Yarrowia lipolytica: one gene and its partners. The main gene of each other region encodes a partner of the protein of the gene in region 3 in a complex. Links are inferred from orthologs where the notes say so. Each region holds a gene or a part of one and is shown on either strand. Other genes may lie near its edges.

What was found.
Region 1: YALI1_D24687g (region 3) and YALI1_D28213g share a complex: the UniProt entries of both Schizosaccharomyces pombe proteins name them as parts of the RNA polymerase III (Pol III) complex. The link is inferred for Yarrowia lipolytica from reciprocal best matches to the Schizosaccharomyces pombe genes rpc37 and rpc11.
Region 2: YALI1_D24687g (region 3) and YALI1_D26142g share a complex: the UniProt entries of both Schizosaccharomyces pombe proteins name them as parts of the RNA polymerase III (Pol III) complex. The link is inferred for Yarrowia lipolytica from reciprocal best matches to the Schizosaccharomyces pombe genes rpc37 and rpc17.

Annotation. Positions count from the first base shown.
Region 1 is NC_090773.1:2,818,363-2,825,965, reverse strand, and holds YALI1_D28213g (uncharacterized protein), read left to right. Parts: upstream 1-4,200; coding exon 4,201-4,239; intron 4,240-4,694; coding exon 4,695-4,988; downstream 4,989-7,603. Other genes in the region: YALI1_D28259g (uncharacterized protein), read right to left, coding at 1-20, 71-141; YALI1_D28242g (uncharacterized protein), read right to left, coding at 1,340-1,643, 1,691-1,812; YALI1_D28221g (uncharacterized protein), read right to left, coding at 2,351-3,880; YALI1_D28150g (uncharacterized protein), read right to left, coding at 7,328-7,603. UniProt on the Schizosaccharomyces pombe protein: DNA-dependent RNA polymerase catalyzes the transcription of DNA into RNA using the four ribonucleoside triphosphates as substrates. Component of RNA polymerase III which synthesizes small RNAs, such as 5S rRNA and tRNAs.
Region 2 is NC_090773.1:2,610,432-2,617,844, forward strand, and holds YALI1_D26142g (uncharacterized protein), read right to left. Parts: upstream 3,748-7,413; coding exon 3,268-3,747; downstream 1-3,267. Other genes in the region: YALI1_D26114g (uncharacterized protein), read left to right, coding at 964-1,091, 1,404-2,898; YALI1_D26146g (40S ribosomal protein uS13), read left to right, coding at 4,163-4,209, 4,560-4,971; YALI1_D26186g (uncharacterized protein), read right to left, coding at 5,263-7,413. UniProt on the Schizosaccharomyces pombe protein: DNA-dependent RNA polymerase catalyzes the transcription of DNA into RNA using the four ribonucleoside triphosphates as substrates. Specific peripheric component of RNA polymerase III which synthesizes small RNAs, such as 5S rRNA and tRNAs.
Region 3 is NC_090773.1:2,464,605-2,472,150, forward strand, and holds YALI1_D24687g (uncharacterized protein), read left to right. Parts: upstream 1-4,056; coding exon 4,057-4,857; downstream 4,858-7,546. Other genes in the region: YALI1_D24649g (uncharacterized protein), read left to right, coding at 294-609, 1,094-1,887; YALI1_D24718g (uncharacterized protein), read right to left, coding at 5,539-7,182; YALI1_D24719g (uncharacterized protein), read left to right, coding at 7,203-7,546. UniProt on the Schizosaccharomyces pombe protein: DNA-dependent RNA polymerase catalyzes the transcription of DNA into RNA using the four ribonucleoside triphosphates as substrates. Specific peripheric component of RNA polymerase III which synthesizes small RNAs, such as 5S rRNA and tRNAs.

The DNA of each region.
Region 1 (7,603 bases), about 350 kb from region 3:
TCTCCGGTCTTAACCCATACCTAGGAGTTCACTTCTGTGGCCCCATTCTACCGGTACAGCATCTTGAGACGGCCGATCCAAACCTGGTGACTGCTTTCGGAGATATGACAGTAGATCATGGACTTGCATCAGAAGAGCCATCACTTGGTAAAGTCAACCGACCTCCAACTCTTAGAACATAGGACCAAAGGATGCGGCAGAAACAGCTGACAACGACAAAAGCCGGGTCACGTGACCGCAAATCATGAGGCAATTGTCAACTTCAGGGTTGAAAATTACTTTTTTTTTTCTTTTTTCCTGTTTTTCCTGTTTTTTCCCTTTTCGGAAGAAAGGAGTCGACTTTTGAACACCACTGTGTTTTGAAAACGAAACAGGTATATAACATGACATTGATTGTGGTTACATGATTCTTTTGTATGTTTCAACTCCAGTATTCCTCTCACCAGTCTGATTCACTATCATGTTCCCACCTTCAGTTGATCTCATGGTCACTTGAACTTATCTTCACCTCCACTGTCGGTAGAGGTAACGACTTTTGTATAAAATGAAATTTTATATACCAAAATAACTTGGCGACTTACATACCACTTGCTGGAGGCGCTCCGACTCTTCTCTCTATTAGAGAGACTCATCAGAGGCACTCTGTATCCTAGTGGGGGAACGACTGAGCACGCCATCAGGTTGACAAATTCTGCTGAGTGAATTTGTCCCTCAACATGGAACGGAGTGGTTCGTCGCCATGTCAAGGTGTTGCATTCACGACTCTCATTATCGTGGATATTCTCGGAGAGAAACATTCAACATTCAGCACTTGTATCTAATCAGCCTCTTGGAACGAGACATTCAGGCCGTCCATGATTGGGCCCAAGGTCATGATGGACATTACCGGCGAAAATGGCTCGTGACCCAACATGTGCTGAATCAAGATGTCCAAGCAACAGACCAGGCGACTCACGACTGCGGGCAGCGATACCACGCCCACTCCTACTTCAGCAGGACCTCGCCGAAAGAAATTGCATCTACGGAGGCGTCATGACTTGCAAGTCTGGTGCAAATCACATTGATTGTGTGAAGAGACATGGCAGCAACCAGCTGAACGATCCTGTGGGGAGAAGACGTATTTCAGCACAATTAGAGTGTGTAAAATACTGTACAGTCATCTTTCGATGACATGAATGGAAGAGACTACGGCTCACAATGTGCGATATTGTGCGTAAATTGGTGATTTTTGCGTCCCCATCACTTCTGTATCCAGTTGGTCAGGTTCATTTTGAGTTGCAACTACCAGGAGGAACGCTGTTCACCACTCAACATCTCATGGCCTCTTGTTAACGTCTTGTTAGCGTCTCCTTGTCTTCTGTTCTTCCCAGTCTTGTGTCTGTACGCCTACAGGTCCTAGTCGGTGTGGGTGCCATATTTCTGGCCTACGCGGTCTACTCATTGGGTGCTGTGCTGGGTACATCGCCATCATAGAAGAACACCTGTGCCTGCGCCTGTGCCCTGTGACCGCTGTGAACGTGGAAGACTTGTCACTCTTCTCCGTCGATATCTCTACCACAAGCCCAGATCCCTCCGCTCCAGCTGTCACACATGGACGCTTGTGCACACGCAAGCTCCCAGAGTGGACCTCTTCTTGCTGCTGACTTGTACCGGTCTATTGCTACTGCGAGACTCCGCAGAGTCCGTCAACTACAGCCACAACCAGGCTTGTATTCGGGCAGTCCGGTTGCTGTTGGCGAGTACTTGTGTCTGTGGAGTCTGAGGATGCTGCTTATCACTTAAGAGGGCTACTAGAGAGAAGTTCCTACACATCCGGTTGAGCTGACATTGAAGCGACTGGCCACACAACTGATTGCCTAGAGGCTTCGATCGGGGGTCTGGGCAGATTGTGGGCGGGAGATGAGCACGTCCTCAAACTGGTGGGCAAACCAGGCTCCGAAGTGGCAGCACTTTCCCAGAAAGTCGACACAAACAGAATCAACCACTCATGCTCGACAATGTTGTCGAACTGGAACTGGTATCCGTAGCTCAGACCTACAAGTACGAACTCCCCAGCCTTCCTCCGGAGCCATTGCGGAGAATGGAAACACGACGAGTGGGATTCGAAGAGGCCGTGAGGATATGAAAACAGTGCAACGTAACCGGAAACAAGCCTCCAAGACTGCTGCAGCGACGCCATCTTCCGAGCCACTGACATGAACTCGGGGAATGTTAGTCGGAGTATTCCCTTGCAGACATGAAAATCAATTGCGTATTACATCTTTGTTATATACAGAGTGGAACGCTCTATGACCACATGATCTGCAGCCATGACCTACACCCACTTGAGCCTTGTGTGAACCTCACCTCACTAGGCGTCAAGGTATCCCTCCAGAATTTGCTGCACAACATCCTTCGAAAAGGGAATGTACAGCTTTTTCATGCCCATCTTGTCGTCAAATGCAACCACCATCTTATGGTCCATAAACTCCTTGAGTTTCTCCTGGAAATCCTTCTTGTTAGAAACCGTCAACTCGTTAAGACACTCCGTCAACACCTTGTCATAATCCACAGAAATGGACGTACTTCCTGTCAGAGCACCCACCTCGGCCTCAGGCAGCTTTCTCTTGTCAGCCACATTGTGAAACTCCTCCAGCTGACAGTAAATGAGGTTCTTGTAGAGACTTCGATGGTTCGGAGTGACCGACTCAAGTACATACTTGACACCCTTGGCACCCTGGGCCTCAGCCTTCTTACCAAGCAAAAGCGGATCGTCAAACGACGTTTCAACCGTGTAGGGAGCAAACGTGGTCACATCATGCCACACAAAATTGTACGAGGCCAGCTTGGCAGAGTCCCACATCAAAGGAGCCATAATATGATCGACAGATGCAACAAACCAGATTTGAGAAATACTCATGAGCTGAGACAGATGAGTAGACGCCTTGTCGATCCGCAACGACTCGCCATCAACATTGTGACACAAGACCACCAACGACGGCTTTGAACCAGCTTCAATATCTCGCATAGTGTCAACCACCAGTTTCACCAAGAGATCCACATCCTTGGGCAGTTTGTTTCGTACCACAAAGCCCTTTTTCGCAAAGATGTCCTCATGATTCTCGTAGAGAACGTCCACCACGCTGTTGAGCACCGACTTGAACTGGACAGACGCATTGTATCCGTTGATGACAAGAATGGGGATTTCCGAGTCCACTTTTTCGCACACAAAGTCAGTCAGTAACTCCCTCTTGCTTCCCAGACCATAAAACAGCAACGAAAACCCTTCCGAAAGCTCGAAAATCCATTGCGAGAACATTCCGCGGTAAGCATGCCGCAGCATCTTCTTCTGGTCGGCATGAAACAGCTCATTGGCCTGGTTTGTGTACTTAAAGAAGACGGAGTGGTCGATGGCAGGCGCCTTGGCCATGGTGTTGGCGTTACCTCGTCCTCGGGTCTTGTGTTGGTCAAAGTATCCCTCTGAAGAGTCCAGGAACAGAACGCGGTCTTCAGCCGCAATCAGGGCACCCACGTTGGCCAGCGACCGTTCGTCGGTGTGGAAGTCGTTGGACGAGTCGAGAATCGGAGCCCGGCTCTCTCCAATGATCCGTTCAGCCAGCTCAATTTCATCTTCGTCTTCGCTCACCAGTCCCAGAGACTGATCCAGTAGTGTTCTGTTGGCCTTTTTTCGCGCCGATTTGTCGTGGAGCGACCGTTTCACCGGTGACGGCGTTCCCGGTGCCTTTCGAGGCGACGCCGTCCTTCTCGGCGTCTGTTTTCTCGGACTCGTGGTCTTTCTTCTCTTGGGTGTGCTCACCTCGTCTTCAACCTCAAAGTCCTCATCGCTGACGTCACTGGTGTCCAGTCCGGAATACGAAACTGGTGCTTTTCTTCTGCTCATGTGATGAATGGTACAACTAGTCGGTGCGGGCGCCGTCTGGGGTTTGTCGCCTCTGCGGTATGTATGTCGTCCAGTGGTGATGCTCTAACGGTCAGATTAAAAAGGAACCGATAAACAATCTCTTGGTGAACTCGAACCCCGGTGCTGGATAAGTGTCGCCGTCTCGTCGCTCTAGTGCGCCGTATTGTATTGTAATGGTGGTGACAATCACTGATCAAAACTCAGAGGTGCATGAGAAACGCCCACCACCATTTTTATATTTTGAATTTCAGACTTTTTTATTTGGTTTTTCACACCAGCACAGACGACACAAACACAGGATGCTAACGTTTTGTCCCACTTGTACAAACATGTTGACGGTGAGTAGGACGGGGGGATATTGAGGGCGGTTGCTGAGTCAGGATTGGGCCAGGAACGACCAGATCATAGGTCGCGTGGATGAAGGCGAGATGAGACGAGACGAGAAGCGAAAGGCGAAAGGCGAAAGGCGAGGGGCGAGAGGCGAGAGAGGGTGAGGTGTCAGAAATCATTTGAAACTTCTTTATCACTAGTTATGTGCAATTCTACTCTTCTCTTACGGTTTTTTGCAGATCAATGAAGTGGCTAGTCATCGACCACACCCGAGAGAAGAGGTTGCCGAGTTCGATCTAGGTTGAGATTTGTCTAAAAGTATTTGTGTGCGCATCTACCGTCCGCTTTTCTCCTTCACCGCATCTACCATGTCCCCATCTCGTGACTGATCTCGTTGCTGATCCCGTTACACACTCCACTTAAGCATGCTGAATCACCATTGACACTCCATATACTAACTCAGCTGTCGACCAGCGGAAACGGCATGCGGTTCGAGTGCCGGACATGTCCCTACGAGTACTACTTGCAGGACGGCACCATCGTGTATGACCGAAAGGTCCTGGAAAAGAAGAAGGTGGACAGTGTTCTCGGTGGAGAGAACGCCTGGGAGAACGTCGACAAGGACCCTGGCTCGCAGTGTCCCAAGTGTTCCAACATGGGTGCTTACTTCTACATGTTGCAGATTCGGTCTGCGGATGAGCCCATGACCAAGTTTTGCAGATGTACGGCCTGTTTCCACCAGTGGAGAGAAAACTAGTGAGCTTAGACGTGCCAAACACGTTATGGGAAGGATAGAATGCATGTAATATATTTATGATTGATTGTCTGAGTGTAGAGAGTGACTGAAGACCTGGAACCGATCGATGGAGGTGTCAACAGAAGGGAAAGCCCAGCCTGCGATTATAAACAAACTCCGGGCTCGGTAACAAACACTTCACTTCTTGTCCTGTGTCCCTGAGAGTCTCCAAGTCTTCAGCAGAGGAGAAGTCGTTTGAGATTCATTCGTTAACAGAGGTTCACTCGGATGTTACTGGCCGTACTGTACATACTGTAGGGATGTTGCCAGATCTACCCAAGTTCAGTATCGTATCGGGAGAGCTAAACGCTCATTTTGCCCAAGTGGTTCGCTCCAGTGGTTCGCTCCATCATCATTTCTCTGTCAAATGACTTGGAGTCATTTCAGAACGCCTTGCTCACGCTCTGGTCAAGCCCCCAGAATACCCATGCCCAGTTTGCCGTCCAAAACCTCAAGAAAGCTGGCTTCTTCACAGTAACAAACAGGGAACATTAGCTGTGCCTCCATATCAATCACATATTCGTGGTCGCTGATCGGTACTGCGTAAACCAGGTTTTAACAGAGCTTCACACATCTTGGTAGGTGTAGAGCAAAACAACGGTTGCTCCAGGGGTCCTTCGATATCCATGTCATTCGAAGCCAAGTAACCAAGTCACGGTAACAGTCAAGCCCTGCGAAAGAGTCCGATGAACAGAAACAGATTGTGGAAGTTCTACGCCCCAGGGACAGTTCACACGACTGTCAGTCTGTTGACTTAAGTGGGCCAACCCGTGCATCGCAATCTCGAATCATTGCCAATAGTGTCGGAAGAAGTCATACCTAAATGCCTAGTCACCAAGTTCGTCGGAGACCCACTCAATATAGCTCACTATTGTTGTCATGGTGTCGGATAAAGCCCTGGACCCGGGAGAAGATAACCTGGAGTGCATCGCCAAGTGCCGCGCGGTCCTCGGACCTTGATCACCGTTTGTTTGAGAAGATGGAACACATGGATCAACACGTTGCCAGGTCTCAAGAAGGCCAAACCGTACCATGGATGACGGTGGTCTTGGTAAATTTCGAACCTGTCATGTTTTTTATCTTCTCCCGAAAAAAGGACAGTCAAGAGTAGCCATAATCAAGTCGTCATTGTCATTCACTCCCGCCTTGTATAGACCATTGTATAGATGCCCTCGGCGTGAATGCAACGGTTCGCTCGGCTCAAGCCATCAACGAGCGCAACCCCCGCAAGGCCTGTCAGGTGCAATCTGTACCAGTGGTTCTCTCCATCTTCATCCAGCCGGATCTTTCTGGGTCTGTTTATGGCGATAGTTGACTATCAGACGGGCCCCGGTCTGTGCAAAAGCCCGCGCATTGGACCCTGCAGCTCCGAGTAGGTCAAAACAATAGACAGCAACAGGGTCGGCTGCCAAACATCTCCAGTATGTATGGTTCCACAAGACCGCTATCGCAGGTCCGCCACAGCTCCTGAGAACCTAAAGACTGAGGGAGTGCCTGCGCTTGAAATGGAGGCAGCTCGTGTGAGGCTTGAAATCCAACCCACACTTACCACGAGTCCCATTGATTGTAGTTGGCGGTGCAGTTGATGAGTGGTGATGGCACTGATGGTCACAGATGGCACTGGTAGTTCATCTGGTTCATCACAAAAGATTTCCATTGACTTGGCATTATCTTGGACTTATCGGTTCACTGGCTTATCCGTGATGCTGCGACTGACCATGTTTGTCACCTGGGATCTGACTTCTAGGTCTCGCTACCGGCTCGGTTTCAGCACGGATTCCAGCTCAAATTCGGCATGGGCTTCCTCAAGCGCCATACTGTCGCCAAAACCTAGACATTTGCAAATCTTCCAAGGAATCTCCGAAGACAGCATTGGAGAGGTGGAAGAGGAGGTGCGTGAGTCGTATTGATGGAGGGAGTGACGCGAAACTGACTTAATGACCTGTGTAAATGACGCGCTAGACACCACCCCAGTTAGATCCTACACACATGACAAGACATCGGAACCAAGCCGAAACATCACACAATTAGACTGCTTCTACTAGAACCTTCCAACTAAACCAATGTCAACTAATACACCATTTTCCCTTTTCACCCCTGCTTGAACAAGCACACACACCATGTATCGTACCTGCATCCCCTTACATATCCTTGCAGCACAAACATGCAGTATGTACGAGTGATGCACATGTTACCTTGACCTCTGCTACGTACTGTGCCATGTTACAAGTACAGTAGTCAATTTGAACAATAAATTAACATATTTTTTCCTCCTCCTTCTTCCCTTAACCCCTCTCTACTTACAAGAATCCGTTCTCTTGGAGAATCTTGGCCATCTTATCGTTCGAGGGCTGCTTGTCTCGAGGCTCCAGTGCCAACGACGTCTCGTACTGGTCGTCGATGCTCGGAGCCTCCTTGAATCGAGCAGCCACTCGCTGCTGCACCTCCGGTAGCTCCTGGAACGAGTATGGAATGCTCTGGTACTGCTGAATCTCCCGCACAATCTCTGCCGTCTTGGTTCGCTTGCTGAAGTTGATCAGCTTGGGCTCACCCTTTATAAAGTCGGGATTACCGTC
Region 2 (7,413 bases), about 150 kb from region 3:
CAACGACTGTTCTTCCCACTGTTATACACACACTTTTGCATGTTCATGTTCATGTTCATGTACAAGTAAATGGTCCATATCTGCCGAAAAAACACCCCCAAATATGTGTCTAGCGGACATAAAGAGCCGTTTAATTCACTTGTTGAAGTGATTTTTCTTCTTCTGATCCAATTGATCCACTAGAGTCTTCTCTCTCGCCTCGTGTTACTGCTGCGACATATGTTCAGATAAAAACATACCAGATGCTTTGGTACATAAATAAAAGATTGTAGATAGATATTGAGCACTTGTGTATTCTTCCAAACAACTTCTTACTTCTCTAGTGTACTGCCGTCGCCCATGGTGGTCCTGGAACAACATCTTAGGCTCTTCAAACACATATCTCCGTCACTGGAGCTAGAACCAGAAGAGAAGGGTGTATGGGGACTTCAAATATGTATTCCAATAGCTCATAATGACCGGATTTAATGGTATTTTCTTGACATTTGAACCTCCTCGAGTATTTCAGATGGTTCTATGCCATCATGACACTCGAGACTCACTCCACAACACACGCTCAAGCACCAGCAGAATCAATAAAAATATACAGTCGCATGACAATTTCACCACAAAAAGCCAACTGCAGCTTTTGGAAAATATTTTCCTCTCCTTCCACGAGATTCCGCAGGATTCTACCGCTTAGTCAGCTTATCCAAGACAAGACGCCTCGCCACGCATTAAAGTTATCCCAACTTTTCTCTACTCTTCGAAATCTTGATTTCTTCTGCTAAGTGCACATTCAGATCAACCACAAAATCAACAACAATGCAAGCTCCTGTCGTTGTTATGAGTGAGTATTGCGTGCTACCGCGTCCCACGACTTGCCCCGTGTTGTCCGCGACGGGTTTTGCGGCACAAATCGCCACCTAGGTCTGGTGTTATGCTCTACGTGTAACTCCAACATGACTAAGAACACCATGCGAAATGGTACCCGGTGGATACAAAAGGGGCCGCAAAAACACAATCGACGAACAACTACTAACTGCAGACGCCGGCCAGGAACGTCAAATCGGACGAAAGGCCCAGACCAGCAACATTACTGCTGCAAAGGCGTGAGTATGGAGTGTGGAGGGTGGAATTGGAGGGGTGGACGGCCTCTGAAGCAAATTGGAGGCAAATTGGGGCGTTTGGGGTAGCTGTTTTACCCTTTATATGTTGTTTGGACTTCCAATTTGGCTGTGGACAGCTGCTTCGGCCATCTTTTCTTATAGGGCGGACATTTGATTTGTGGTGATATCAAGCTGTAGAGTCGTGTTTGGGGGAATGCAACACCACCATTGAACTCCTCCCGACGAGTCGACTCCGCCGGTTCCATCATTACGCTTATCCAACATCCACCACCCTCAGAAATGTCACTAACCCAGTGTCGCCGATATTGTGCGAACGTGTCTTGGTCCCAAGGCCATGCTTAAGATGCTTCTCGACCCCATGGGAGGTATCACCCTGACCAACGATGGTCACGCCATTCTGCGAGAGATTGAGGTCACCCATCCTGCAGCCAAGTCCATGATCGAGCTGTCTCGAACCCAGGACGAGGAGATTGGAGACGGAACCACCACCGTCATCATTCTTGCCGGAGAGATTCTTGCTCAGACCTTCCCCTACGTGGAGAAGAACATTCACCCCGTTGTCATCATCGCCGCCCTCAAGGATGCACTTGCTGAGGCTCTCAAGGTTGTAGAGGAGATTTCTGTTCCCGTTGACGTCAACAACGAGGCTGCCATGAAGAAGCTCATTGCCGCCTCCATCGGCACCAAGTACGTGTCCCGATGGTCCGAGCAGATGTCCTCTCTGGCTCTCAAGGCCGTCAAGACCGTTGCTGTCGACATTAACGGCAAGAAGGAGGTTGACATCAAGCGATACGTCCGAGTGGAAAAGATTCCCGGAGGTGAGATTGAGGACTCCCGTGTGTTGGACGGTGTCATGATCAACAAGGATATCACCCACCCCAAGATGCGACGGCGAATCGAGTCTCCCCGTGTGGTGCTGCTTGACTGTCCTCTCGAGTACAAGAAGGGTGAATCTCAGACCAACATTGAGATCAGTAAGGAGGCCGACTGGAACCGAGTGCTGCAGCTGGAGGAGGAGCAGATCAAGGCGCAGTGCGAGGTGCTGCTATCGGTAAAACCCGACCTGATCATCACCGAGAAGGGTGTGTCTGATCTGGCCCAGCACTATCTGCTTAAGGGCGGCTGCAGTGTGCTTCGACGAATGCGAAAGAGCGATAACAACCGAATCTCACGAGTCACTGGCGCCACCATCGTCAACCGAATCGAGGACATCAAGGACTCCGACGTTGGTACTCTGTGCAACCTGTTTGAGATCTCCAAGATTGGTGATGAGTACTACACATTTATCACAGGCGAAGACCCCCAGGCATGCACCGTGCTGCTGCGAGGACCCTCCAAGGACATTCTCAACGAGATTGAGCGAAATCTGGCTGACGCCATGGCTGTGGCTCGAAACGTCTTCTTCGAGCCCAAGCTGGCTCCCGGAGGAGGTGCTACAGAGATGGCTGTGTCCGTGCGACTGGCCGAGCATGCCAAGACCATCGAGGGTGTTGCACAGTGGCCCTTCAAGGCCGTGGCTGATGCCATGGAGGTGATTCCCCGAACCCTGGTTCAGAACTGTGGTGGTAATGCCATTCGAACTCTGGCCACCCTGCGAGCTAAGCAAGCCGAGGGTTTCTCCACATACGGCATTGACGGTGACAACGGAAAGGTTGTTGACATGAAGGAGTACGGCGTGTGGGAGCCTGCTGCCATCAAGCTGCAGAGTATCAAGACCGCCATTGAGTCTGCTTGCTTGTTGTTGCGAGTCGACGATATCGTGTCTGGAGTTAGAAAGAAGGGCGAGTAAAATGGGTTTGGATAATGATATTATAGATGTTTTGCGACACACTGCAGTGTAGTCATACCGTTTACAACACCGATACTGCCTTTGAAAGTTGATGGCTCTGTACAAATCTTGGTGTAGACATTGGGCTGATACTGTATACACTCCGATGAACAAGACCACAAAGAGAAACAAAACTGGTAACGGTATTTATGACACTATCAACTCTCGTGTGTACTTGTACTTGTACTTGATTGATCAATCGTTATTGTTCATTAAATTATATGCAAACGTGTCCTCCACACTTTTCCGTAGTATACATTGTTTTGGGTGTGTCATGGTTGAGTCGACTGCCAAAAGCCTTGTCTTCGGCATCTGCTCATTGTGAACTCGCTATTCAGCGATAGCATCCTCTTCACTGACCAGAGTTGTTCTAATCGCGTCCAGAATCTCCTCACATTGGTCCTCATTGTAACGCTGATCGCACTCCTCGATCAGGGAGTATAACGACACGATAGACGTGGGCACGGAGTTGATGAGCTGCAATCGCTCGGCCTTTTCGAGCCCCAGATGGTTGATCTTCTGCAGAAACAACGTAATGGCCTCTGGCGACTGGCTGGCAGCAGGAGACTTGTTGAGATAGTCCTTGAGCTCGTAGATGACGGTTTCGAGGTTTTCGGCATGGGAAGTGCCCTGGTTGGAGGCTGCCGACGCGGATTGGGACATTCGTCGGGCACGCTCCTGGTCCCGCACGTGAGCCAGCACCTCAAAGTTGGACAGCAGAGCCTCTCGAGTTTTTTCCACCTTCATGTTGTTGATAATACTGGTATATTCACGACAACACTTTTTTTCTGAATTATGCAAGGTGTGCATGAACTCACAGCATCTTAGGAGATCCACACACGTGAGTACAAGGCTGTAAGATGTGCCAAGACACCCGAAACGGATATCTGTGTCACTGTGATGCTGTATTTTTGAATACTCTCGGATCGGTAGATTTTTGCCCTTCTCAAATTGTGCGCTTAGTAAGCAAGACCACAATCCCAGAGCTGGTTTAATTTAAGCTTTGGAACTCCCAAATTTAAATGTTTTACATCTTTGGGGATCGAACCTACGACCGCACGTTGTCCTCCTGCCTCTGTTTTCATGGCTCTTAGGGCTAACCCTAAGTGTCACATGATATTTCCGTTTTGGATAGAGTTGGACTCGGAAAATTGCAAACGAAAGTTCAGTGTGTAAAGCACCAGTTCTTTCATCATCACCGGTCGACCCATAACTACACGCCAAAATGTCCCTCGTCGTCACTGAACAAGGCAACTTCCAGCACATTCTTCGGTATGTACAGACAGCACAGAGAGAACAGGGAGAGAATTTATTACACGATTATTGAAGCTCGATATGGTGGTTTGTGATGGAGATACAGAAGGCACAGAAGGTCAATGATGAGTAAAGACGGGTCATGCGACATGGAAAGGACCAAGCAGACTGAACATGTTTGAGCATTTGTTCTGCGTGTTTACACTATGTGTTCTTACCTGTTTGCGTACATTTGTCTGACTGTCAACTTCTGCCTACCACTTCGTTTTTATGATGCTTGAGATTTGATGGATCGTGATCAGTCTCATCAAGGGCCACTAATCGGTGATCACTCCCTTCAGCCACTAGAAAGTATTTTGCTAACTCAGACTCCTCAACACTAACGTTGACGGCCGAATCAAGGTCATGTACGCCATGTGCAAGATCAAGGGTGTTGGTCGACGATACGCCAACCTGGTCTGCAAGAAGGCCGATGTCGATCTCTCCAAGCGAGCCGGTGAGCTCACCGTCGAGGAGCTCGAGCGAATCGTTACTATCATCCAGAACCCTGGTCAGTACAAGATTCCCGGCTGGTTCCTTAACAGACAGCGAGACTTTACCGACGGTAAGGACTCCCAGCTGCTCGTTAACCAGCTTGATGTCAAGCTGCGAGACGATATTGAGCGACTCAAGAAGATCCGAGCCCACCGAGGTCTCCGACACTACTGGGGCTACAAGGTCCGAGGTCAGCACACCAAGACTACCACTCGAAAGGGTAAGATCATGGCTCACCGAGGTTAAAACGTGCATGTACATGTAAAATTATTAAAATGCTATTGAGGACATGTGTAGGGCTGACCAGGTCAGGCCGCGGTTTGTAGCAGGACATGTTTGGGCCGTTTGGCTGTGTGTAGACAAGTACTGTACCACCATTCCCAGCTGTGTGTGACGAGAATCACAGGTTCAAGTGCAGTGGATCACATTGGACCTTCTGCGTGCAAATCTGGGTATATCGCACACTGTGTTGAGCAGATAGCAGTCTCATCGCCTACACATGTGATTAAATATGAATAAAATTACTGTACAAACACCCTAGAACAAGTCGGGCATGTCAATGTCGCCGCCAAAGTCCATGGTGAAGTCGTCGCCTCCAAACATGTTAGTGTCCATAAACTGGTTGTCAGTGTTGGAGTTTTGCGACGAGTCGTTGATGGGCTTATTCTCAACCTCGCCCGTTCGGTTCACCACAAACGAATAGTCCTCTTTAGCATGTGGTTTGCCGTCCAGACGACTTCCGTCGGGTTTGTAGCCTGCTGTAGTCAACAACTGCAGAATCTTGGACTGCAGCAGCACGCAAATGTCCTTGCTCTTGCCCGTGGAGTCGTTGACCATGTTATCGAGTGACTTGAGAATGAGCTGTGAGTCGGAAAACGGTCGTGGACTCTTCACAGACGTGGAAATGATGAATGCAACCGTAGCAATCGTAGCAACAACTTCCACGGTATAATGGCCTGTGCCGTTGGAGTCCGCCAGCGCAATCTCCTCGATCAGCTGCTCCAGAACGTACTTATGGCCCAGAGTGTCGACCGACGACAGGATCATCACAAGCTCGTATCCAAACGGGGGACCCGTGTACTGGTTTTGCGACCAACTGATGAGTGACGACACCTGCTCCTTGATGGTGGCAATCATGGAAGCACCGTATTTCCACGTCTGCTCCTTGGTACCACTTCCTCCACCCCCACTCATACCGATTCCCTTTTGCGATCGGAAACCAGAAGACGACACTGTTCGCTGCACGTTGAGATTGTAGTTGATGGCCGAAACAAAAGGCTCGAGGAACTCAAACACCCGGTTTTCAACCATGTAGCCTGCCCTCAGAGCCATATCCAGAGCCTCGTACATTTCGTCAGCACATATAGCCAGCACCATTTGATGAATAGGAGACAAGACCTCAATGTCAGTGTTATCGGTGAGAATTAGAGTGGAACAAACAGATATAACTGTACTCATCTGCTCGTCGTGTCCCTTTTGCGAATGCACCCATAGTTGTTCCGACAACCACTTGAACACTCCCACTGTTGATCCCAACAGAAAGGGCTGCAAAAAATACTCCAGGCCTCCCTTGAAGGTCGACAGAGAAAGTAGGCCCTTCTCGTGGGCGAGCATGCTTTGTTGAAAAATGGCAGGGGTGACAAGAAAGAATTGCTTTACGGATGACGATCGCATTAGATCGTCGGAGATGCCTCCAGCGTCATACAGAGCGGTAGCCCATCCACTGAGCTGGTCGTTCTGTTCGTCGGAAAGATGGAAAATGCGTTGTGAAGAGTCGCTTTCTGTGAGAAGCTGTGACAGAAACAACTCGTGTGATGGCATGGTGCTGGAGGGCGAAGGAGCACCCACAAAGAGTGTTCCAAATTGGTTCAACAGGGCCAAATCGAGATGATAGCGCTGCTTGAGGGTGATGGCAAAGACCACAATGGCTCCAAAGTCCGTGTAAGCTTCTTGGTAGTTGGCCTCGTCCTCCTCCTCTCTCCATAGCTCAATGCAGTCGACCAGAGCCTTGAGTAATAGCATGGGATCGACACAAAGGGCCATAATGTCGACAGCAGTTGTGTTCAGTGCCAAAGCTTGGCACATGTATCGTACTGGTCGAACGTTTCCTGCCTGCACAAAGTCTGCCAGGCACACTAGCAGCCGTTTGGTCAGCGCTTCCTGTGCGTTTCCACTCAGCTTCTCCATCTGAGCGACCACCTTGGACATGAGACAGTCGGAAACAGACCCAATCTCGAGATTCTCGTAGCTCAGCTGCTCTGCCATTGTATCTAGGCTCATAGCCTGTCCGTCGATCGTCAGCTCGTCTGCGTAATCGAGGGCTTCTACGCTGATTCCTGAGTCTTTGAAAATCGCGTTGAAGGCGTCTTTGGGCAGAACTCCTTCGGAAATGCATGCAGCAACCAGTTCGTGTCTAATGTCAACGTCCAGGCCACCCGGGAACGAGGAGAACATGTCGTCTAATTCGTCAGAACCGATGGAAAGACGAATAAGGGTCACGGTAGGCTGATCCAGGCCCAGAACACTTTTTGAGACGACGGATTGAATGAGCGTCTTTTCCTCGGGTGTCGAGTGCGGGAACAAAGTGCGAATAATGCGCGGGATTCGTGTTCGGATGCAGCTTTTCCAGTAGTTGTTTCTTTTGGCAGAATCTCGTCGCAGAAAAGTGATGCTCTGACAGTCAAACAT
Region 3 (7,546 bases):
GATGACGCTTGCAAGTAGGGGTTCGAATGTTCTGAAGAGTGCAATTGATTCATTCTCTGCCTAAGCGGACTGAAATCGGCCCTGTCCGTCATACACCCCACTGCACCCAAACCTAATTCACCCCACCAAACTAACCCCACATTGTTGTGATCATAAGAGGTTATACAGCAACACCATCTTTCACAGGAAGAGACCGTATCTTCTTCCAACCGCTACAAAACGACCCACGTGCCAATCGCCACGTGACTCATACTACCACATCGTCGACAACAACACCGCAACTATCGTCAACCATGCTCTATGCCCATACTCTCATGTTGGTGGCTCCAGTTGATGGAGCTGTCCAGCAGGTGAGCCAGCTGTATGCACCAGTGTTGCGCAAGGCGCTGGAAATGACGTATCAGAACGGAACTCTGGATATTCTGACACTGGCGGCGCCTACCACGGCATTTGAGGCCGAGAAGCTGCTGCAGCAGTTCTACGGACTGGCTGTGGAGGAGGCCGCCAAGCTCGGTAGACAGTCCATTGACGTGCGGGTGCTGTTGGACGGCGAAAATGTCAAGTTGGATCGACAGCAGAGTTGGGAGGTGTTGGTGGCGGGCAAGTTTGGTGAGTATTGCCAGCGGGCGAAGCCAGCTTCCGAAGGACGCAGAAGACCAGGTTCTGGCGAAAGTCTCATTATCTGAGCCGCGGGGTCGTGAGAAAGACCTTGAAGTGAGCTTGATAGTGTCAGAGATGACAGATCAGTTCGTCATGCTGCTGATTTAGTCATGTCGTGAGCTGGATCGTGATCTGAGAGCGAGTGTTGCATTTGCACGGAGAGTGTGAAAGTTTTACTCGTGCTTGAGCACCAGATATGAGACGATCAAAGCCAGGTGGACAGCTTGTTGTGTCTTTCTGATGCTGCCCTTCTTTCCTCCATCAACGACGCCATTGCACAGTCCTCAAGATGTCATCTGTCATGTATTCTGACGAGACATATAATCTCACCCTTGACATGACAAAAAAGATCGACTAATCTCACATCTTGGTCTACAACACGTGGCACGTTTTCTCTCTGCCCTTGGACCTCATCGAACTTATGCTAACACAGAATCGGACCTCTGTTCTTCCTTCCGAGACTCGTTCATCCACTCAGCCACTGTATCCACCCTTCCGGTCATTATTCTGCCACAAGCTACAGACCCCGGTATGTTTGACCAGTCCCGAAAGTCTCAGGAGCCCTCCTACGACTCTACAGGCTACGAGGGAAGTGGCTACGAGATGGACTACGAAAAGCCAGGCTACAAGTTCGACCATGAACATCCCGAGGGACATACGACCGGGGGTACAAACACCCCTGATCACGTGGCCAACCCCGTGACGCTCAACAAGGCCGAGGAGCTGCTGGCGAATGCTTCTGAGGAGCAGTATTCTGTAGTTGCTCTGGGTGGCACTTTTGACCACCTGCACGCCGGCCACAAGATTCTGCTTACGTTGGCAGCCTGGTTGACGCGGGACAAGCTGATTGTGGGCATCACGGGCCCTCAGCTGCTGACTAAGAAGAAGTACGCCGAGGCCATGGAGTCGTTCGATGTGCGCGAGAGCCACGTTACCCAATTTCTCAACTACATTTCCCCTCCCCTTCGTCTTCAGCCTGTCATGATTAACGATGTTTATGGCCCTACTGCTTCGGATCCCGATATTGATGCTCTTGTCTTGTCTGCCGAGACTCGAGGTGGAGGAGCTGCCATCAACAAGGTGAGAGAGGAGAAGGGGTGGAGCCAGCTAACGGTATTTGAAATCAACATTGTCGGTGGCAAGGGCAATGAGGAGGACAATTGGGCTGACAAGCTGAGTTCGACGCAGCTGAGAAAGGAGGCATTGGAGAAGAAGGAGAAGTTGTGAGGGGGTGGGAGCAAGTTGTAGCTATGAGTGAGCTATCAGCGAAGCGCGTAGTCTAAAAACAGGAACAGAGTGACACTTTCTGGATCAAACGTTGCGCGGCTAGTTGGTAAGTGTTCCCCTGTTATCCACTGCTTTCTCATGATTTTACAGCTTGTTCGTGATCCCTGACATGAACGGAGCGGCTACCCCTCAATGGAAACGACCGGCTCCACTACTGCCCATCTCCCAGAATACAATATAGGAATACATGCATTTTATCGAGCGTGGGAGGCGTACTTGTACAACTGTATACAAGTACATACTGTGGTTGTTGGAGGACTCTATCTACCAGTTAAAAATGAGCTGTTTTAGGAATTGTCACTTCGGAATCGTACAAGTTCACCCTTGACAAAATGTCTTTTGTCGTCGAGAGCTGTGCAAGCAAAATGGCTTGTGTATGGAGCACAGGAAGACCTACAAATACTGTACTGTGCTTTTTCAAGAACTAATAGATCTTCTGATTGAAGAAAGGAACAGCTTCAGCGAAGAACATGACATCAAGCACGTGCACAGTGGTTCTTTCGTCATACGTTTTCCTCTAATACAACTCTCAGTTTTTTTTTCTCCTGCATACATTCATTTAATTATTTTTTTTTTTCTGATATACATTCATTTAATTATAACTTTGCCCGTGAAAGAATAACCTTTGAAAATGAATGTACGCTTACACACGAATATTTACTAATTAAACACGTTTAGTGTCATGGTCCAACTTGGCACGTACCTATTTCCAGTAAAAAAAATCATAAAAAAAACCTGGTTCAGTCCGTGTTGTATGTTGTCCACATAGCTTCGCGTGTTTGTTCGTTCATCGGGAAAACGCCCCCTCCAGTCTCCAGTTCTCTAATTCTCAATCCTTCCATTGCCCCTCTTCATTTGCATTCCCTTTGAAAACGTCTCCCTTGTTGGTTCTTCTTCGTCATTGGTTTGGTTCTGGCGTCCCCTGTGGTGACCGCGCCCTGCTACCCTTTTCTCTCGGTGGCCTCGGCCGCCTTTTACGCTTGCTACTGTCTTCTACTCTCGCCTCATCGTGAAAGTGCTGGCGGTTGTCCAATCGTAGAAATTTTTTTTTTTCTGCATATCATTCATTTAATTATAAACTTTGCCGTGAAAGAATAACCTTTGAAATGAATGTACGCTTACACGAATATTACTAATTAAAACACGTTTTAGTGTCATGTCCAACTTGGCGTACCCTATTTCGAAAAAAAATCATAAAAAAAACCTGGTTCAGTTCCGTGTTGTATGTTGTGCCACATAGCTTCGCGTGTTTTTGTTCGTTCATCGGAAAACGCCACCCCAGTCTCCTCTCTAATCTCAATCCTTCCATTGCCCTCTTCATTTGCATTGCCTTTGAAATTCTCCTTGTGGTTCTTCTTCGTCATTGGTTTGGTTTGCGTCCCCTGTGGGTGACTACGCGCCCTGCTACTTTCTCTCGGTGGCCTCCGGCCCCCCTTTTACGCTTTGCTACTGTGTTCTACTCTCGCTCATCGTGAAGTGCTGGCGGTTCCATCGTAAAAACACATCTGGGCTTCCTTCAGGAAATTGAAAGCAAACCCTGTTGGACATGTCCCAGGGTGGGCGTCGTCCCCTGAGTACCGGAGGGATACTATAACTTTGCTTGATTGCAATCATTGTTGGTCTAGCTAACTAATTCTTAATACAAGGGGATAGATACGACTAACTCCATATTTTCCAGCTCTTAGGGACATGAACTGTTAAAAAAACCTATTACCGACATTAATTTTTCCAAATGGTATATATTCAATAAGCCTCTGGAATGAACATACATGGCCAAGTATGAATACCCCTTCATCCCCTCTCACCTCTTAACAAACCCCCCCCCCCCCCAAAAAAAAAAAAAAAAAAAAACAGTGCATGGGAAGCTCGTGTTATAGAAGGTCTAAAAACGACATTTTTTTGATAGGTTTTTGTTTACAGTGAGATTACTGAACTTGATAAAGGCAATTTTTCTAATAAAAACCACCCCTTGCCATATAATCATGCCTCTCTTTCAACATCCACTCCTTCCCTGTGGCCGAACATGAAGTCTAAATTTTTCTCAATGCATAATCAAAATCGAGCCGTGATTTTTTTTAAGCGAACATAGACCCAGACACGAAACACACCATGAGCGACCTGTTTGTGCCGGATGAAGACGTGGAGGTCAAGACCGAAGACGCGATGGACGTGGATGTTGCTCCGGTAACCGAGCATGACGACCAAGACGATCCTATTGTCAAGGAGTTCCCGGTGTTCTTCTCGACCAGACTGGCAGGCAACATCCACCTGTACCAGTACCCTGCTCGGTCGGTGGACTCGCCATACACCTCGTCGCACGCCACAGGTATCACCGAGTCGCGAATTAAGAAGGAAAGTGGCGTGGTGGAGGTGGACGTGCCTGTGCCCACAGATCGATGCTACGACCAGGCCAAGGGCACACAATGGAAGAACATCGACAACCAGACGCTCAAGGGCCACCTAGTGGAGTCCAACCCGCAGGAAAACATGGTGGGTGTGTTCAAGAACAATGAGCTTCACCTCAACCCCATTGTTTCCACTGCTCTGTTGCGTCCTTCGTTTGATCATGTGAACCAGGAGAACATCAAGGACCCTGCTGCTGCTGCCGCGGCCAAACGGACAGCCCAGAACGCCAATGAGCCCAAGGCCATTCAGATGACAGTCAAGTCGTCGTCCGAACAGACGCCGCGGTTTTCCGGGGCTCTGCTGGCAGTCAAGAAGGCTGAGGACGAGGAATTTGTCACATTGCAGTGGCGAGATCGTGACCAGGAGGATACTTGGGATGTTGGTGAGCTGCTGACGGCGGAAAAGAAGGACAAACTGGAGTGCTCCACGACCAGAGACGAGTACCTGGAGGCCATTAGTGTGCCCTATGTTGATCCGGTGACTATGGCTGCGAGATGTTTATAGGGAGTGTCCGTCCGAAGTATGCTCACGAACGGAACAGTGCAACATGGAGCAACGAGACAGCTGCCATGGCTGGAGTGATGGCCTTCTGGAAAAATATGGCGGTTGTACGAGCGACAGCCAATGTTGGAGCATCGGTACAATGAAGCGTCTCTTATTGTAGATGTTTGTATAATTAGAATAGATGATATTTATAACGGATGTGGCAAGGAGTAAAAGCTACATAGTGTTAAAAAGTCCCTTTGGTGAGGTTGAGGGCACCACGACCATCTTAGGATAATACACTGTACCGCTCTGGCTAGAGACAGTGCTGTAGATGATCTGTTGGCTGTCGCCTCATCCGCAACTATGTAATCCAACACTGAGAGATAAAAGATCCAGAGGGATATCGTAGGGGAGATAATTTGCCATGGACGTCTGGTTGAACTGGAGGGCCAATATCGTGCGTGTTCGGGGACTTGGTGTTGAAGATACAAGTAACCTCAACTGGTTGATCTCGGAGACGAACTTCAGAGAGTCGAGAGAGTGAATATTATGGCTTGTTACAGACCCTGGAATGTAAAGTACAACTAAATATCAATCAATGCATTATGCTATTTGTACACTTGTGGATGTTGTCTGTAAATTGTCTGTGAGAGAAGTCATTAATCTGAGGGTACAATCTGGGGGTACACAGGTGGTCGTCTAGTAACGATCGTACTCTTCGAACTCCTCGATCCACCGTCCTAACATCAACTCCTCCACCTGATCCCTCTTTCGCTCCTTCTGCTGTCCCACACTAATCCGCTTGCTGGTTCGTTTGTTGGTCATCTGCTCCACCAACTTGGGGTTCTTGATAATCTGGTTAAACAGCTGCTTGACGAAGAAGAATTCTGCCTTAGAGTCCACCTGCTCCAGCGTGTTCCAGCCCTTGGCAAATCGTCGCATCGCATGCTGTTGCGTGTTAGTAGCTGATTCACCACCAATCTCCATGTACGTCTCTTCTATGCATTGCCGCACCAGAGCGTGCACATTTGGAGGACCTGCCTTGATTGTGTCTCCATCAGCAGCCGTAGAAACAGAAGAGACCGACTTGACACTGTTGCCAAGCGACTCGGAAGACATGAACACTTTTCGCAAAGGGTTCTTTAATGTCACTTCCGGTGCATTGTTCTCACTAATGGTCAGTTGTCGAAGTACAGCGGGATTGATTGTGCTGGAACTGCTGTCCATGGACTTGTCCAAGTACGTCTCCATCTTGACGGTACCAAAGTCCCACGAGTCTTCTTCCTCCACCTGGTCCATGCTGACGACCGTCTCCACAGCCATCTTCTTGGGCTTCGTTTTTCGATGTCGCTCCATCCACCGTTCCCGTCTGTCAACCAGCAGTTTGAGCTGGCTTGTCTTTCCAGCCTTGCGGATGAACCGATGTTTCAGAAGCTGTCTTCCAGAAGGTCGTTCAGCGGGGTTCTTGCGCAAACAACATGCCACAAAATCTCGAAAATCTGCAGACCAGTTGCCTCCAGCAGGAACAGTAGGCGGCTCGGCTTTGGGGATCAGAAACAGCACCTTCATTGGATGGTATTCACTCAAAGGAGGTTCTCCCTTGGCAAACTCAATGGCCGTGATTCCCAACGACCAGATATCCGCCTTGGTGTCGTAGTCCTCCTGTCTGATGACCTCGGGTGCCATCCAGAACGGCGTGCCCACAAACGTGTTTCGTCTGCTCATGTTATTACTCAGCTGTGTGGCCACTCCAAAGTCCGCCAGCTTGACAGAGCCTTCTGACGACACAAGCACGTTCGCCGCCTTGACGTCTCTGTGGATCTTGCCATTGTCATGGAGATAAATGAGTCCCTCCAGCAGCTCACGGCACATGACTGCAATTTCGGGTTCATGAAAGATGCCTGGTTTCAGCAAGTCCAGACCCGATCCTCCAGCCAAGTACTCCATGATGATCCACAGCTTGTATCCCCTGACAAAACAGCCATAGTAGGTTGTGATGTGTTCGTCTTGGCAGCCCGATAGAATTGCAATTTCCTTCTGAATCTCCTCAATGTCGTCTTCTGACGACTCCAGGTCGATTTTTTTGACCGCAACAATCTGCCCGCTCACCTTGTCGATGGCCTTGTACACGACTCCAAAAGAGCCCGAGCCCAGCTCCTCCAGCAGCTCAAACTGGTCGGCCGAGTAATGTCGCGAGCGTATGGACGAGTTGGAGCCTGCTGTGCTGGGACGTGACGTGTTTCTGGGCGGACATGTTGTGGAGGAAGATGTCGAGGACGACCCGGAAATAGACCGTGGCGTAAGATTGGCCAGCCGTGATAGTTCTGAGCTTGCCGATGCCATTATGCGTGTGTTTCGCAGAGATGAGATGCTGCTGTTGTAAGACTTCTGAAAGTGTTGAACTTGTTTCGTTGCTGTGGCTGTGGCTGTTTCTGTTGTTACCTGCGGTGGTTGCTGGTGTTGCACAGGGCCTGAATGTACCTACTTGTAAAGTGGAGAATTCGTACTATGACGTGGAGGCTGTTATGCAGATGCTTTCGTATCGTCGGTCCGTGTCGTGTCTATGTCGTTTCTTGACAAGTCAAACCTGTAACAGTTGTTTAGTTCTCCTATCTCGGGGACGATCAGTATATGTAATGTTGTGCTCCGCCAGGTCGCGTACTAGACTGGTGCAGCTGGGGCGCAGGTGGTTGTTTAACAATGGTTG